Linked DNA regions of Sus scrofa. The protein of the gene in region 2 interacts with the protein of the main gene of each other region in a biochemical or structural test. Links are inferred from orthologs where the notes say so. Each region holds a gene or a part of one and is shown on either strand. Other genes may lie near its edges.

Region 1 (4,253 bases), on a different chromosome or scaffold from region 2:
AAGCCATAGAACCACCTCCTTTCTCGCCCCTCTCTGACTTCACCCCCCTCTCCTGCCGTCCTGCAGCTCCGTGAGCAGCTGGCCCTCTCTGAGTGCTGGGCACACTCCAGCTTAAGGTCTTCAAACTCGCTGATTCCTCTGCCTGGGACGCTCGGCCCCAGACACATGCACGGGCAGTTAACCCCGTCAAGTCGGAGCCCAAATGTTACCACCCCAAACCTCCTCGGACTAAAATCACAATTTTCTTCCCCAAAATGTCTTGGCACTCCTTCCCTTTGCATTGTCTTCACAGCACTAATTATGTTTGAACACACTATTTAATTTTTATTTTCTATCTCTACTACGACTTGAGGGCATTGATTTTTGTGCATCGTGAACTGATGTGTTACCAGCACCCAGGAAGCTGCCTGCACTAACAGACATTTAAGAAATATTCACCATACGAATGAAATGGTTTCAATTTCTTACCAAGCAGTAAACTGACACTCTAGAAATATATGTCATGCTTATTCTGGGGCTTCATGTACGGCCTAAAATCAGGTCTCCTGTAACAAGGGAGATCATACCATTTAGCCCAAATTGGGACACTCTGAGAATGAAAGGGGGCGCTAAGAATTACACTGTGACAACAGGCATAAACTAGACCCGTCTCGGGCAAACCAGAACACTACCTGTAACCCGTCTTAGAAGTGTGGGCCAAGGGCATCCAGATAGCACCCCGCAAGCAAGCCTTCTACTCAACAGTATGGAGGAGACACTCAGTGCACACAGAGTTTATACCTCATTCTTTCAACTCAAAAGGTTTTATCACTTATTAAACTTGGCATACGGCAGATACTTCAAAAAAAAAAAAAGTTTGCTGAGAAAAGGAAAGAATAAACATTTGATTTAATACTATGCCAGATACTTTGTTCACTGCAGTGGGTTTTTTTCCCCTTCTGTTTTTAGGGCTGCACCACAGCATATGGAAGTTCCCAGGCTCCGGGTTGAATCAGAACTGCAGCTGCCGGCCTACACCACAGCCACAGCAACGCCAGATCCTTAACCCACTGAGCGAGGCCAGGGATTAAACCCTCGTCCTCATGGATACTAGCTGGTTCGTTACTGCTGAGCCAGGTCGGGAACTCCCAAAAATAATATTTTTGAACAAGTACTAAATAACGCTTAAGACAAAGATGGAAAAAAAGACTCAGCTACATTTAGGAAAAAAGAAATACAACCAACAACCAACTGGAACCCCTATTTAACCAATATTTATTAAATGCCTGCCTTGTCCCAGGCACTGTGCTAGAGCAGGAATAAAGACGCACATTACAGAATGCAAACTCAGGCACTGTTTGACCCTCTCTCTCATTTCAAGGTCAGGCTAAGTGGCAAATAAAACTTCATGATGTACACTGAGATACAGTCCCTAATTATCACTGCAAACATTTCATTTACTTTTGTCAGTGAATACTGCTGCTGCATACTTAAACCAAAATCCCACCAACGTCAATTGCTAAATCCAAGCTTAATGCAATATAGTGGTAGAAATTCTAGAAGAGAAATTCCCGTCGAGTATCAACAAACTTTGTGTTCTTTGACAACCAGGAATATTTAGACTAGCAACTTCATCTGTAAAATGGTATGGTTAGACGACAATCCTCCCAAAATGCAATCCAATTCCCAAACTAGACCTTAGAAAGTTTTACTGATTCATAAACTGCTCCTATTTAAATACACAAGTCACTTGAAATTTCAGGAAGTGTTCTGGGCCTTGTGTTTGTTTTTTAATAATAGAAATTACAGAATTGTTGCCTGTACATCTTTGGAAATAAACACATACCTGGTAGTTTAAAATTCTGCTCATGTTTTTTTAATGAGCCATCCGCCTGAAAGCGGCCATGCAGAGGAGAAAAAGCCATTGGTTCATCCATCTGAACCCCCAGAGACGCCTCCATCACAAAGCAAGTGGGGTGCAAAATGCCAGCTAAGGGGTCATGTCCACAGGGGGAGCAAAGCAGCTGTGAAAATCAGAATTCTGGAGCAGGTGAGAAGTTTATATCACTCAGTGAACTAAACACTAAAAAGTGCTACTGTCCCCCAAGGGGCAAACATTTAAAAACGCACCGTAGGTCAAAATTCCCCAAGGAAGGGGAAACTTGAGCCATTTCTAAGGATTCCATTGGCTTTACTTTCACATCGCAGAAAAAACCAGCAGGGGGCCGAAGGGAAAACCGCCCGGCGACGGTGGGACGGGGGCGCCGGGGGCTGCAGAGGCTGCGACCCGGGTCGGGGAAGCCTTAGTGGGGACAGCGGTTCGAGCCGAGGGAGAGGCTGGCAGAGGAGAGCGCCCGACCACTGAGAGGGGGCGCCGGGGGTCCGTCCAAGGCCCCACGCAAGTTGGTGGAGAACTGACACGACCTTGCTCGCGAGCGCCCGGCGGGGAAGCGGGCATGAATGGGATCCTTCCGGCAGCGCGGGTCGCGCGCTGCGCGGGGGGAGACCCGGTGCCCGCAAACCCGAGACCGCACGGGACGCTGAGTGCGCAGGCGCACGACTTTCCCGCCGCAGGTCAAAGGGGTCCGAAAAGTCGGGGGGGGGGCACTGCGCTGCGACAAAATGGAAGTCACGATCCAGAACTCGTTTCTAATCCCTCACGAGCCCGCGCCATGGGACAAACCGTCGGAAACTCACGGTTTAAAGGAATACGACTTCCGTGGCTCCCCAGAAGCCTAGGTTGCCGCTTCCAAGAGCGCCCACCTAGCCAGCCGGCCAACCGCGCCTGCGCAGCGCTTCCCGCCTCGCCGCCTCGAGTCGCACATGCGCAGTGTGAAGCCGGCGCGCCGCGGTTTCTGCGCCGAGCGCCTGCGCAGGGGGTGGGTTCCTGCCCCAAGGCGGAGGCTGGTCCAGGAACGGTTGCTGATGGAGAGCCGGGGAGTGATCCTTCGCTGGAAAACGGTGACCCCTAAGGTTAAGGATCTAACAGCACTCGGAGGAAAGAGAGTAAGTCAGAGACAGCAGAGTCTCATTCTCACCTAGAGAGACTTTGGACCCTCCGGATAAAAGACGTTCACTTTCTCGACTCCCAGCTTTCACTTCTTTTGGTGGAATGCCCCCACCTGTCCGTTCAAAACAAACAAACCAACAAACAAAGGCAATTGCTAGTTGTTTGTGGCTGTATTCAAAGAAACAAGCCCAGTGACATTCTCACTGCCACTTGGTCAGTCAGCATATATTTGAGCCCTTGGCTCTGAGGCTGGCTTCGAGAGGCTGGGGTTACAGCGGAGAAGACGCCCTAGAAAACCCCGCCGTCCCTTTATGAAGCCAAGTTCCAGTGAGACAGTGACAATAAATAAATAAATGAACAACATTCTTCTAGATGTTGATAAACGCTCCGAAGGGAATAAAGTGGAAGGACGCGATCGTGACAGAAGGAGGCATCGTGTTGGGAGCCAAATGGGAAAGAGACTAGTTGGCCAAGGGTAGATCAAGTGCAAGGGTAGGATATCAGCTTAGTAAGTTGGGGGGAGGGAGTTTCACAGAACACCAGCATCAGGCAGGGCCACTCTGTGACCTCGATATGATGGATCAAGACAGAAATAAGGTCATTCTGTAATCTTGTCTAGATATAGACCAAATGTAAACATTTTGTCAAGCCACAAAAATGAGCAAACATTTTCTTCTCCTGGCTAATGGGAGCGACTGCTGCTTCTTTACTAATTAAAATTTTAGCCTCTGTAAACACTCAGCCATTCTAGATAGTACTTATTAAAATACACAATTATAGATTTACTCCTGCCTTCCTACAGCTCCCAATAAGTCCCTCTTCCTTGAACCCATCCCTAAATCATGTAACACAAACCCAGATTTCTAACACCCTCTTACTGAGATGCTATATGGTTGTCCCTGGTGTGCATTCTCACTGAAACCTAACTTGTTCAATTGCGGTTCCTCCTGCTCTTTAGCTGGAGGGCATTGACAGTACTCAAGTCCAAGGTGTCTACTAGATAGCTAAGTGATAATGTCAAGTGAACAGGTCTGGAATAGAGTCTAGGCTAGAGACATAAATTTGGCAGTTATGAGTTTATGCATGAAACTTAAAACTTTGGGACTAGATGCTATTATCAAATCAAAGATTATAGATAGAGAACGGGGCTATGGGTATCCCCACTCTTTCAGAGTTGGGCAGAGGAAGAAGAAGAGCCAGCGAGAGACTGGGAAGGAGTGACCTGTGAGGTAAGAAGGTGATGCCATAGTGATCAAGAGGAGAA
Region 2 (2,829 bases):
AGTGGGGAACGACACCAGTCCTCACCCAGCTCTCCTACCTCATAAGCTTCATATCCAAAGGTTCAAACTGGGCAGGGGGCTGCCGGCTGTGCTGGTGCACGTAGGTGATGTGCTGGGCCAACCTGGAAGAGGGGAGGCAAGTATGAACACTTTTTTCGGTGATCCGCACTGTACCCCAAGCCTACATCTTACTCTCTCAGCTCTGTGTGTCACAGCCCAGCAGAGACAAACTTTCTCAGAAAATGATCATCTGCATTTCAACCCTGACCCACCCTGAGAACTGGACCAGCCCCTTCTGCAAGAGGGAAATGCTCCAGTTTCCATGGGCTGACGAGGAGGTTTCCAATCCCCCGCCCCCAGAGGGTGTAACTGAGGGGTGGCTCCTTGGCTGTTGTGCTGCGAATATTCCCCCGCCCCCAGAGGGTGTAACTGAGGGGTGGCTCCTTGGCTGTTGTGCTGCGAATATTCACCTCAAGTCATTGTCTCGGTCAGGCCGGTCCTGGATTAGCCAGAGGAGGTCAAATCGGGAGAGCAGAGCCGCAGGAAGCTGTATGTTCTGCTCCAGGCTCCGGCGAGGGTTGTAGCGTCCGTAGGCAGGGTTGGCAGCAGCCAGGATAGAGCAGCGGGCATTAAGTGTTGTGAGAATGCCTGCCTTGGCAATGGAGATGGTTTGCTGCTCCATGACCTCGTGGATGGCTGTGCGGTCAGCTTCCGCCATCTTGTCAAACTCATCAATGCAGCAGACGCCCTGGTCGGCCAGCACGAGGGCGCCACCCTCCAAGGTCAGCTCTCCACTCACGGAGTCTCTCAGCACGGCGGCCGTGAGCCCCACTCCCGAGGAACCTCGGCCTGTTGTGTACTGGCCTGAACAAAAGGGGCAGGAAGAGAGGAAGTTAGCAGCTGTGTTTAAGAAGAGGGCAAAGGAAAGAAGGAAGGGGGCCAGTGAGGCGAGGCCTGCCCGACCGCTCCGCTGACCCAGCCAGGCCTGCCCGAGGCAGCTGCAGATCCGCGACGTGGTGGCGCTGATCACATCTCCACCCCCCAACCCCTCCCAGAAGAGCACAAACACGGAACGAGGTGGTCCTACTCCTGTCCTCGGGCTTGCCTCCCAGGGTCTGAGAACTCACTGCGGGGGGCCAGGCGATCAATGTAAGACAGGAGCTGAGACTTGGCCACTCCAGGATCCCCCATCAGACAGATGTTGATGTTGCCTGGAGGAAGGAGGCCCCCGAGTGACTTTTCTTTCAATCCAAGTTGTCCGAAAACAACACTTTCAAGGTCTGCCCCCCATGCCCCCCGTGCCCGTGAAGCCGAGGCAGGCTTATTCTATGGCCTGTGGACGCTGGAAGGTCCTTACCCTTCTTCCTCCCAAATGCCTCCACTCACCCCTGATCTTCATGCCTCGAGGAGACTGGTCCACCCCTCCCACCAGCAGGAGCAGCAGTGCCTTCTTCACGTCTTCATGGCCGTATATTTCCGGGGCAATGGAGGCTGCCAGCTTTTCATAGAAATCCTCCTCTGTGGGAAAAAGAAGACTAAGTATTTTCTGGGAGAAAAAAACTGCTAGGGAGAAATTTGGATCCCAGTCTTTCCCCTGACCCCTCACCTGCGATTTGTCTCAGTTCTTCCCTGCTCAACTCTCCAGCCCCAGACTCATCATCCTCACTCTTACTCATCTTCACAATCCGATGGGCTTCCAGGTAAGTTTCTGAGAGTAAACCCTTGAGCAGGAAAACACCAGGGTATGAATGAAGCGCCTTTAACTTGCCCTTCCATGTGAGTCCCTGAGGAGTTCCTGACAGAACCCTCTGTTCTGCTTTGTTTGGTATTCTGTTGCTTGCTGTCACTCTTCTCTGTGGGGCTGTTAAAGAGTGAGGAGATGAGAAAAAAGGAACCACCACCTCATTTTCAACTTTCTCACCTGGACCACCTGTCGGAACCCGGTGCGCAGGATCGGCAAGAAGATACCGGTGACACTGACATGATCCCCAGGCTGGGCGATCCTCGTGTTCTCTCCTTCCACCAGCACTGTGATGCTGCGAGGGATGTTTCCCACGGGCACTTGGTCACTCTGGGGAAGAAGGGTCCATGAGGCCTGCCTTTCTCTCCTTATACACACTATGGCCACTTCTTGGTCTGCTTAGCCTCAAGCAAGCTGACAAGAGGAAAACTAGGCTTTTTTTTAAAACTCTTCCCAACTCAGAAAGTTCCAGTTAAACCCCGTCCTGCTCTCACTGACTTCTCTGCCTCGACTCTCCCCTTTTGTTCTACTTTCTTTCTTATGCTTCTGAACGACTACAAGAATCAAACGGACTCCCAAGCTCCCCCTTCCCTGAGCCCCAGACCACATCCCCCAAACTCACATGTTCTTGCATCTTCATCTCCTGGAATTTGATGAATTTGGAGCCACGTGTCTGAAGATACAGTCGCCCTCCTGAGCGGTTGGTCTGGCACTCCTGGCTTGGGCACATGATCAGAGGCATGAAAGTGGGAGACTGGATCTAGGATACAAAAAACAAAGCACCAGAGGAAATGAGAAAAAAAAGGGCTCCTTAGAGTTAGTCACCTAAATGACGTTTCTTCTCTGTGATAGAAAACATGGGATTGCTGAGTACACCAAGAACACAGAATGGATGGAAAGGCCATCCCATGCTGGAAAAAGAATGAAAACACACAGGTGTGTTTTACAATTAACAGACCAGTAATGACAACATATAATCATCACAAAACAAATTAATTCATACAAAAACCGCTGACAAAAGTAAACACATTCCCATTCTTTGCTCTATACATACCGGCTGGTAGGTCTCTGCCCCACACTGGTCACAA

What was found.
Region 1: of the proteins of MCM7 (region 2) and CDC7, one has a biochemical effect on the other in vitro, tested with the Homo sapiens proteins (2 studies listed by BioGRID). The link is inferred for Sus scrofa from reciprocal best matches to the Homo sapiens genes MCM7 and CDC7.

Annotation. Positions count from the first base shown.
Region 1 is NC_010446.5:125,456,560-125,460,812, forward strand, and holds the start of CDC7 (cell division cycle 7-related protein kinase), read right to left. Parts: upstream 2,801-4,253; 5' UTR 2,677-2,800; exon of another isoform or gene 2,110-2,676; intron 2,021-2,109; 5' UTR 1,941-2,020; coding exon 1,826-1,940; intron 999-1,825; exon of another isoform or gene 1-998. UniProt on the Homo sapiens protein: Kinase involved in initiation of DNA replication. Phosphorylates critical substrates that regulate the G1/S phase transition and initiation of DNA replication, such as MCM proteins and CLASPIN.
Region 2 is NC_010445.4:8,008,219-8,011,047, forward strand, and holds part of MCM7 (DNA replication licensing factor MCM7), read right to left. Parts: coding exon 2,796-2,829; intron 2,502-2,795; coding exon 2,364-2,501; intron 2,072-2,363; coding exon 1,922-2,071; intron 1,722-1,921; coding exon 1,607-1,721; intron 1,519-1,606; coding exon 1,387-1,518; intron 1,212-1,386; coding exon 1,128-1,211; intron 865-1,127; coding exon 471-864; intron 123-470; coding exon 39-122; intron 1-38. UniProt on the Homo sapiens protein: Acts as a component of the MCM2-7 complex (MCM complex) which is the replicative helicase essential for 'once per cell cycle' DNA replication initiation and elongation in eukaryotic cells.